Linked DNA regions of Caenorhabditis elegans. The protein of the gene in region 1 interacts with the protein of each later gene in a pairwise test. Each region holds a gene or a part of one and is shown on either strand. Other genes may lie near its edges.

Region 1 (4,843 bases):
TATTTCTACAGATTCCAGACTAGCGCGGCAGGGACATTTTTTCTTGAAATTTCAAAGTTTGCACATTCGATTCCAATGAACGTTTCAAACTGAGTCTACTTCATATATTTTCTGTGGTTTTTTAGCCAATGTTCTTGTAATTTGTAAAAAAAAATATGTAACCTAAACCTTATTTTGAGCAAAAATTCATTTTCATTCAATTCACACATGAAAGACAAAAGGCATTGATAATTAAAAATCATAAGTAATTGTTTTAAAAATTATATATCATAGCGAAACCGAAAGCACGCGATGAACATGAAAAGCGAAACAAATTTGGCCGAAGAACCGTTGAAATCACAGAATATCGTCTCCAATTGCAGATCCTTTACGAGAAAATGATCGAAGAGAGCCAGTGTCAAATGAGTGACTTACACTGAGATACGTACGAGATATTCTGAAAATTTCAAGATTGATTTGGAGTTTGTTCAATTAGCAGTATTTTCTAGGAGATATTGTGCATCTTTAGATACCTATGTACTATTAAAATTTTTTGTCACATAAGAAAATAAAATGCAGAATATCTACAGAAAATACCTGAAGTTTGAAAAAAAGGTTCACCGCAAAACACTCGAAAACAAGATCAACCACACTGAAAAAGTCACACAAACCAGTAGACAAATTCAAAAAAAAAGAGAAGTAAAACAGTGCGTAACATGTTTGAATGAATGGCGGATACCTTCGGATACTGTTCCACACTTGCCTAGTACCACGCCGTGACGTGGATTGCTGAGCTCGAAGCAGAAGCTCATTTTGACATTCATTGTCACTTATTGAGGTACGACTATCACCAACATCTTCATCGTCGTCCTAAAAATGTTGAAATTGATTTTTAATAAAAAAGGACGCTTACTTTGACAATGACATAATAAGCAGTTAAAAGTGCTGCCGTGTTAGCAGCCATTGTTGTAATGGAGAGAAGCGGTTGCAGATGTCCAGTCACCAATGCTAATACCATTACTGTAAGATAATCTGTTTTATTGATATTCTTCACAACGAAATTCAAAACCAGAGGAAGAAGTAATTGAGAAAACCCTCTGAAAAATAAAAATAAACACGAATTCAATTTCGTCCTTACTGTATCAATATAATTTATGATGGTCGAAAAATTGTCATTACGCGATTCCTGATTACCTATATAAAATTATATTATTCGAATTCTGAAAATGTTCCCTACTAATAGGCGGGTAATTTGAGTGCACCCTAGGCCAAATATCTTTCATTTAAAAAATTGAAACGGGAAAAAGCAAACGGAAGTTCGAGGAATACCACGTGATGTTATAGGTCATTAATATTTAATCATCATCTATTCAAAAGGGTCAGACTTTTCTAGTTTTGAAAAATCTTGTGAACTTCATGTTTTGATGCTTATTTTATATGGTTGCTTGAAATTAAACGTGTCTTCAAACACGAGGTTCAAAATTCTTGATCAGCAAAAACTGAACTTTAGAACACCACAAAAACTGTGACTCACGGGCATTATTATTCTGAAAATGATTTATGGTGAGCGACAGTGTTGTGATGAATGCAGTTGGAACTTGAACAACGAGAAAACTTATTGTTACAGTCGTTATTAGAATTCGTGTTTGATCTCGAGGAGTTCTTCCGAAACGATTGCTGAAATTAATAGAATTGAATAAAATTGGTGGTGAGAAAAGTTTCAAACTGAAATAGACTAGAAAATAAACGGAAATTGAAGGAAATTAGTTGGAAATTAAGACTACAGTTTTCAACTTCTTTTTGCCTGCCTGGAAGGCAACATTTCAATTGAATTAGAAGACATTTTTAAATACTATTTCATCTGAATTCGTTCGAAAAACACCGCCTTAAAACTAACTGTTTTGTCAAATCGCCCATATCAATTTCGGGTTCTCGAATGAATCCAACATGAAGAAGAGCCAGTAGAACTCCAGGTATCACAAATTGAACAGCAAAATCCGCAAGTGGGAGGAATACCTGAAAAATTGGTTTCATTTGAGACCAGGTACATTCAGAGTACGACATCAATTCTGACTCAATAATTTTTGCATAAAACCTCCCCCACATTCATGATCTACATCATCAAAATCATATAAAATAGACAATGTTCGAATGAGAATTCGTATCAGATCATTTATTCACTTTTCATATTTTCTCTTTCTAATTTGAAGAGAACACTATGTACTCAAAAGCTGTACTACTTGCACTTCTGGTTTGCTCAGCTCTTGCCGCCCCAAAAGCAAAAAAGAACCAAACGGGAAATGAGCAAAATCAGCAAAGCCAGTCAGGTCAGAGACAGACTGGACAAGGCCAGCAAGTAGGATCTCAGCAAGGATTCGGAGGAATGCAAGGAGGATTTGGAGGGCAATCAGGATTCGGTGGTGGAAGCTCCCAGGGAGGGTTCGGTGGATTTGGACAGCAAGGTGGATTTGGAGGAAACTCTCAGGTAACCTTTCAACATAGCTCTAGAAACCTGTTTCAGAAAAAAGTAAAACAAAATTAAAAATTTCAGGGTGGATTCGGAGGACAACAAGGAGGATTTAGTGGAAATTCTCCGGTAACGTTTAGTGCTTCATACGCCTTCCACGTATGCCTAGGTCACCTTGAAGGCTCCCTACGCCTATTTTGCAGTCGTCTTTGATATCTAGCGGCGCGACTGATATAGTAGTTACTAGGCACGCAGGCAGGCATTTTGTGACTCATGGAAGACGTAGTACTAAATCAGATACTAGTTTTGCAATCATGATGTCACGAACAGAGTAATAAAAAATATTTCCAGGGTGGTTTCGAAGGACAACAGGGAGGATTCGGTGGATTTGGTCAGCAAGTTGGTTTCGGCGGGCAGGTTAGATAGGAAATTTGTTTAGAAATTTTTAAACGTAACAAATATAGGGAGGATTCGGAGGTAACAGTCAAGGTGGATTCGGAGGTCAGCAAAGCGGTTTTGGTGGTCAAGGACAGCAATCAGGATTTGGCGGAGGTTTTGGAGGAAACTCTCAAAATGGATTCCCAGCTCAGAGACCATCCCAACAGTCTGGATTTGGTGGACAAGGAATGCAATCTGGATTTGGAATGAACTCTCAACAGGGAGATTTCGGTGGACAGGGACAGCAATCTGGATTTGAAGGAAACACACAAGGACACTCCCAAGGAGGATTTGGTGGGCAGTCGTCTTCTGGATTTGGAGGTCAGCAAGGTGGGCAAGGTGGACAAGGTGGATTCGGAGGATCTACTAGAACCGGTGGAATGCAAGGAGGACAAGGAGGACAAAGTGGATCAAGTGGGTTCGGTGGATTCGGAGGCTTGGGCCAAGAAGGACAACAGGGTGGACAGGAAGGATCCAATGGAAACAACAACCAAGGATTTTAATATGTGATGTTCAGTATTTCATCTAAAAACTGGTAATGTGTTCCACTGCTCTTTTTAACGCTAACTTTAATGTTTTATTTTGACATTTTTAATAAATATTGAAGCATTTTTACAAACACCTCTAAACTCCTATTTCAAAGTCCACTTCGAACTTTAACAAATCGGATTATTCATTGAACAATTTGAACATCAAACGTATGTTTTTACTCGACAGTTTTCAAAAACCACATTTGCCGAACCACGTCATAATCCCATAGAAATCGGTGAAACACTGTGTATAGAGAATATCCGTTATTACAGTAATGTTCAAACGTTAAACAACTATGATTTTTTCGTTTTGTTTTGGAAGAGGGAATCCCCGAAAAGTTATCCAACCGGTATTTTCTCGATGGTATAAAATGAGTTTTTATTGGCTCAGATATCATCAACTTCTAATTTTCAGCCATTTAAGGTTTGTTTGAGAATTTATAACCTCACTTCTAAATATTCGATTACAAAGTTTTAAAAATCCTAAATTTCAGAAAACAATGTCCTACTCCTCTATGATTTTTGTTCTCCTCGTTAGTGTTGTACTTGCCGACGACCAACCAATTCCTCCACCAGTTCAACCAGGCATGGAAGGACAGCTTGGAATAGGGCAACCAGGTTTCAATGGACAACTGCCGGGACAAATTGGAGGAGTTCAACCTGTGATTGGAGGAATTGGGGTTCCAACACTTCCAACTTTACCAACTCTGCCGAGCCTGCCGACACTTCCAACAATCCCACCACCAGGAGTTGCACCAGGTGGAGTTATCGGACAACCAGGAGTTGTCGGCGGAATTAATGTACCACAACCAGGAATATAAATTTTTGCGCTTTGTCTTTTTATTCATATTTATTGTATATATCACAACTTTGATTCAAATAAACTTGAATTTGAATTTGAAAGAAAATTTGAAGGCAACATTATCAAAATAACATTATTTGGGAGAAATTAATCTCAGAATATTGAAGAGCATTAAAACTTGGTTTTGATAATTAGTGAATAAGAACCAACTATACTGGAATTATCTATTCATAAAAAATTATCATGATGTCTTTGTCTGTTTTTACAATAATGGTTACAATAATGGTTAATAATGGTTAATTTACAATAATTACAATAATTTTTACAATGACACATATTTACAAAAATACCATAGCCTGCTTTTAACGCGTCTATAGTCAACGTACATGTGCAGTTTTTTTTTCATTTTTAATTGAGCTTTTGGAATGAAAAAGTAAGAAGAATCACTAACTAAATACCGTTTTCCAAAAATTTTGCTCAACATTTTCTAGCTCAAATGCTGTTTCGATTTAGAGATCTCAAACGCAGAAGTAGATTTTAAATTGGCATATTGCTACTATCACTTTCTGAAGAAAAAAGCTTTGCATAGAGTTAAGCGGCATTGTTTTGTTTCAAAAAAACTTGAAA
Region 2 (6,257 bases), on another chromosome or scaffold:
CCAAACATGATGGAAATTGGAATCCCGTGATCTTTCAGAAAATGATTACGGTAGTCGCATATTTCAAATAATGACAACCGGGAAATTGAAAACTGCCCAAAAAAAAAGAAGAAGGGGTGGTATTTAATGGACACCGCTCTCCACATAGTAAGAGTTTTCTGAGCATCGGCTCTCGACGCCTTCTTCTTATTCTCTCTGTCTCTCTGACTCCTCCGGTGAGTGCTATAAATCGATTGTAGAGAACAGAGAGAAAGAAGAAGAAGAAGAAGTGTTGATGCTCAAGTGGAAGGAGCTGGAGACGATGAGCGTGAGAGATGAGCATAGTGGAAAAGATAGATGGAAAAACAAGAAGAACGTTGATGGTGGAAGAAGGCAATAGTAAAAACAGAAAAGGAAGACAAAGTGAATAACAAAAAGATCCGGGGACCCTCTGCTCACCAATGAATCACTGTCCAGAGCTGCGGCCATCTTTTTACATATCGAAGAGGTTCCAAAGTCGAGAGGTTGAATGTTTCCAAAGTTTCCGGTTAATGTCCACCATGTTCTGCAATTTTAGAAATTTCTTAATTTTTGGAAAAACTCAAAAACAAATTTTTTATGTTTTACTACTAATTTTTAAAAAAAAATCCAAAATGCTCGTTTTCACTATATTTCGAATTTTTTTGAATTCTTAAAAAAATAGTTGAGAGTTTTGGCCATTTTTCTTATTTTTAGAAGAAAATAATATGTTTTCTGTGTTTATAGGCACTCTATGTAATAATGACTATAACTTTATGTGTCGATTTACGCAGCTCGTGAAGTCCACGACGAGGAGGGTTTTACTGCTGTTTCGAAAAAACTTTTGAATTCAAATTTTCGAGCCGTTTCTGATTTATAGCGTTTTCGGGAAAAGGATCTAAATTTACTTCAACTATGGAGATTTTTTGTTATACCTCACTCGCCACGCGGATAACGAATTACTGTAGCTTGAGTTGAAAAAAAGTGAATTTTAATCTAAATAAGAATTTTAAAAAAACCTGACGATTGACAGAAGTGACAGTAATTACTTATCCGCGGGGCGAGACCTTTGCTACGAAAATTGTCATTTGAAGTTGGAAAGCGAGAAAATTAACAATTTGAATGATAAATACAAAAAGAACTTGCGAAAATAGTCAAAAACTAAGAATATTATCCAAAAACTGTAAAATTGTCCTAGTTGCGGATTACACGAACTGCGTAAATCGACACATGGCTTTTTTTCGGGCTAGTTTTTTTTAATTCGTTCCAAAGTAGAAATTATTTCAAAATTGCTCCATTTTTCACTAATTTTTATGAAAAAAGGCTATAAATTAGTTTACTTTTTAATTTAAAAAATTGGATTTAACTACAATTTTTTGGTGCTATTCTGAACAGAATTATGAATTTTTACGATTTATGGAACTTTAACAAAATAATTTTAGATCCCAAATTTTAATTTTTCAACCAATTTTTTTAAATCCACAAATAAAATCCAAAAAACTCACTGGCTTTCATTCATAACTTCCTCTTGAGTACGTATCTGCACAGGTGCAATATCCGCTGTCGTCACCTCGTGGTCCTTCAGGCATGCCGCAATTTTTTCGTCAAAGTTGCCGACAAGGTCCTGAAAATAAAAGAATGTTGAAAAGAGTGTGACAATGCAAGAAGTCCAACCTCAAGGGATCCAGAGAACTCGTCATGAAGACGTTCCTCGTCGCTGTTGCTGTTGCAGTGATGTTTCTCGTCTGATGAATGGCTGAAAGTTACAAGTTTTTTTAATTTTTATCCTTTCATCTATTCATATTATGGATACGCAGAATAGAAAACAATTTTTGAAAGTGAAGTGCAAGCGCGCTCCACCGACAAATCAATATGTCCCGCCCCAAAACGTCGGGTCTCGTTAGGAAATTCAAACGTTTTAAATTATTTTTTAACCGATTTCATCCGTATTCAATGAATTTTTCGACATTGTGTTGCGTTTTTGATTGTTTTTCATGATTCTTATGTCAAAATGATATTTATTAATTCATATGAAGTTGAGAAGTGATAACATATTTTCTATTAAGTGTGAATTATAATTCCATCAATTTCGATATAAAAATATCCTAAACAAGAACATAAAACATAACAAAAAGTCGAAAAATCTAGTTTTACCACTAAATACCTAACGAGACCCAAAGTTTAGAGGCGGGGCACTTAGAGACTTGGCAGCGGAGCGCGCTTACATCTCGATTTCAAAAAGCGTATTTTTCTATATTTTTTCTGCGTCCCCATAATATGTATTTCTTCAGCTTCACCCCATCCTCTTTAGGACCCCCAAATAGTATGAAGATCCGATAATTAGATAATGTGTATCTTTTGGATGTGTATTGGGGTATGTGTGTGTGTGTGTGTGTGTGTGTGGATGGCCGTGAGGGGGTGAGAAGATGAGCTTTTAAGTACCCTCTCCTCTGCTGCTGCTGCTCTACAACACTTGGCTCGTTCAATTGGATTGGGGCCCAGTTTTATTGGCATGTTCGAAATAGAAAAAAGATATAACGAGGCCATCGAACGTATGTCAGAAACACTTAGGGAAGCACTAAAAGAAAATTTCTGCGAATTTTTCTTGTTCTCTAGGAATTCGAAGGACCATAAAGAAGTGCACTGATGTTCTTTCTAGGAATTTACAAAAAAATCTAGTGGGAAGTTATAGTTTTGCGATTTTTTTTTCAATAAATGCCCTCTTAATTTGAATTTTTCAGCTCGATAATAAGCTTTTTTTTCAAAAAAAACCTCTACAACCTATTTATAAATAAGGTGGTTTCCAAATATATATTAAAAAAGTGAATTTAAAATTTTTTAATAGGGATATTCATATTGATACAACATTACAGTATTTCTTAAAGGCCCAGAGCTTAAAAAATTGCTACAGTAACCTAAATATCTGATGAAAAATACTGTGAACCTCTAAAACGGCCATGAGTCGATTTACGCAGCTCGTGTACTCCACGAGGAGAAGTGTGCAATTATATTTTTGACTAAAAATCTGGAATTGAAACTATTTTTTTTAGTTTTCTATATTTTTATCACGTAATTTTTTTTCACCTAAAAACACTGTTTTAAACTTCGGATTTAAAAAAATTAATTGGTATGGTCCGAAATCCTGCTTTCTTGCTAAAAACTGTTAAATCCTTTGCAAAAAAATGTACGCTTTTCCTCGCGGAGTACACGAACTGCGTAAATCTACACATGACCGGAGGATCACAAGCCTTCACGATCATAATTCCAACTTGTGAGGGAGTTTGGAATCTCTAGTATCCAGCAAAATTCAAGATTTTTTTTGCACTCTCCCACCAACAGCTTCAAAAAAAAAACTCACTTGCTCAAATTCTTATTACTATCGATATCATCATCATCACACGAGGCGAGCGGAATGTCCGGTACTCGCAGATCTGCAGCCTCCATTGCCACCTCTCCAAAACGCATCGGTACTTTTAAAGGTTTTGGTGAAGGAAAAACGGATGACACACAAAAGTGTGGAAGAGAAAAGAAGAATGGAAACGACGACGACTTTTTGGGATTGAAATTGGGAGAAAGAAGGAGGAAAAAGGCAAACTGACGACGTTGGAGAGATGCAGAGACAAAGAGAGAGAGATGCTAGAGGGCTCCAGCCGCCAAACTAAATGAATGCTCTATGCCTTTGCTCCAAATGTCGTCGTTGTTTGGGAGAAGAAGAAGTAGAAACAGAGCTGCTGCTGCTCTCTTCTGCAGTAGTCACTATGCGCGCAAAGGCAACTAAAGACGAAAAAGAGACGGATAGAGACGCAGAGACATCAACGGAAAACCGCATATGTATTGGATCCCTCCGGTTGTCTTTCTCTGACCGACTCTCTCAATGAGAGTGAATGAGAGAGAGAGAGAATTAGAGAAAGAGATACAACAAAATGAGTGTACATTTCTTTTGCGGGGCGGGGAGTTTTGGTGGGGTGGAATATAGAGAAAAAGAAAAAAGACCCAACACAGAAATACGAAACCCCTTCTCTCAGCAGCGGCGCCATTCTTTTCAGGACTAAGAAGACTAAGAGAGAGAGAGAGAATGTGAAACAAGTATCCAATTTTTTTCGCCTCACACACACCCACAGATGAGCCGAGAATCGGAGTGATTGATGTGCAAGAATGAAGGAAAAGTGCGGTGACATATTATTGTGTCCACTCCTCTCCGATCTAATCGGTTCGCCGCAAAAATAGATGAATTATTTGTTACGAAATCATTTTTCGTCTAGTTAATATAGGAATGGGGGATCGAAGTGAGATTGAGTTTTGGGTCCAACTTCAGAAGACGTTTCCAATGATTTATATCAGGGTTGGGCGGCAAACGATTTTTTTCAGCCAAATCGGCAAATGTCGAATTTGCCGGAAAAACGGCAACTGCCAAAAATGTTCGGCAAATTGTAGTTTTGCAAATTTTTTCTGAAACTTCAGAATTTCAATTTTAATCCGCAAATTTGTACGCATCCTATGAATGTTCCTAAATTTATTTTGAAAAGGGAGCAAATCCTATGAAAATATCTAGAAAAGACGGGAAAAAATTTCAAAAAGGCACAGTTTTAAGCGTTTCCGGCTTATAAAAAATCCCTATAAAAATTTCCGGCAAACCGGCTTTTCGCCGAATTTTTCGACAAAAAAAATTGCCGAACGGCAATTGTCGCTCTTGATTAATACAACTTTTAATTTAAACGAGGAAATTTTTTAAAAAAATTTTAAATAAAAAGCAGTTTCCAGAAGAGTAAGTGTAAAAGTGACAGAACTTTGGCTTACGCTTACATATTTTGGAAATGTGGAAACCCGAAACCTATTCGTGATACGTTCATTGACAATTAAATAGGTGTGGTTCATTAGAAAAGTAACATGATCAGAAAAAATACGATTATCTCTCCAAAGTCATTAAAAAACTGAGTTTTCGATGTCTAACAAGAAACATACAAATTTGAAGAAAAATGTTGCATCTGGGTCTAAAACTAATTTTATTAGCCCAATTATCTCAAGACATGCGCCCGAAAAAGTTTGACCCCTTGACAAAATTGAAAGTTTGTTTCAGTTTTATGATCGAAATAACTATAAGAAAATGATACGAGAACAGAAAACAGTTGAAAGCTTGCAAATTGCCGAAAAAATACGAGTTTTTTTCTCCAGAAGAATTTGGCCGAGAAAAAGAAGGCGAAACTTTTTTGTTTACGACATAACAATGAGTGATTTATGCCCTTTTTCTGGATGAAAGAAGTTGGTTGGACTATGCAGTCAACGATTATTAGACCTCAAAGGGCTCTTTTTTCTTTGGTTTTCGCACCTGCGAAGTGGTAGTGCTCAATTTTCGAGCAGGGAGAACTATAACAAACAATTTAGTGTATGTTGACTATACCGGCGACTCGACTGGTTAAACTCGTCAAAAGAACAAGGGAGAAATTTTTGGAAAAAAAAGGAAAAAAGAGAGAAATTTTGGCGAGTAACTAGTGCACTTTTCGAAGAGCCGGGCGGGAGAAGAGAGAAAAAGGAAACAAATTCAATTTTAGAGAAATTTGTAAATTTAGTATAAACACGAGTGGAATAGTAAGTAGTATTTACAAGAGGAAGCTAGAAAAAATCTTTAAAGCTTTAAAACAATTCTTTAAAAAAACAAATTTTTAGAGTACGCAAACACCGGCCGGCACGCAACAATGCAGACATTCGCTTACAGTACTCTTCTGGTTTTCCACTAAATTTTCAAGCTAATTTCAAGTATTTAATTGATTTTCAATGAAGTTTTACACAATTATTTTACAATTTTCGAATCAAAATATCATATCTAGGTAAAAATCTTTATTTTACAAAACAATGAAAATCCTAAACCGGCTTCGAAAGGCGATCCGCTTGTAGTTTCCTGGAAAAAAAACGTTTACAGATTAAGTTTAATGCTAAATAACCAGGATACGAACCTAATATAAACAATATTGGCCCCTATTAAAGCCATGACAGTTGCTGCTAAAACGACGAGCATTCGATTTTTCTGCTTTTCCCGGAGGTATTCATCTTCGGGATTTCTGAAAAATAAAGAATTTACTGAAAAATTGTTGCCAGCGAATTAGCTTTAATACCTAAAATGGGAATATACAACTTTTTTCGAATTCCTTTTTGCATCAGGTATCACATCAGCACTCCATTCAGCTCTTTGAATATTCCTCCTCTGAGTTGACATTTCTTGAGTTTTATGCGTCGCCTGGAAATTGGAAAAAATATATAATTCT

The links.
Region 2: the proteins of K01A6.4 (region 1) and unc-76 interact in a two-hybrid assay, tested with the Caenorhabditis elegans proteins (one large-scale study listed by BioGRID).

The regions. Positions count from the first base shown.
Region 1 is NC_003282.8:11,737,639-11,742,481, reverse strand, and holds K01A6.4 (Glycine Rich Secreted Protein), read left to right. Parts: upstream 1-2,177; 5' UTR 2,178-2,197; coding exon 2,198-2,464; intron 2,465-2,530; coding exon 2,531-2,575; intron 2,576-2,797; coding exon 2,798-2,863; intron 2,864-2,910; coding exon 2,911-3,387; 3' UTR 3,388-3,493; downstream 3,494-4,843. Other genes in the region: K01A6.7 (Collagen-like protein), read left to right, coding at 3,915-4,235; K01A6.6 (G_PROTEIN_RECEP_F1_2 domain-containing protein), read right to left, coding at 337-436, 719-849, 893-999, 1,514-1,656, 1,877-1,995.
Region 2 is NC_003283.11:15,069,068-15,075,324, reverse strand, and holds the start of unc-76 (UNC-76), read right to left. Parts: upstream 3,566-6,257; 5' UTR 3,442-3,565; coding exon 3,356-3,441; intron 1,754-3,355; coding exon 1,672-1,753; intron 1,622-1,671; coding exon 1,503-1,621; intron 545-1,502; coding exon 439-544; intron 1-438. Other genes in the region: dnj-3 (J domain-containing protein), read right to left, coding at 5,857-5,893, 5,949-6,053, 6,108-6,229.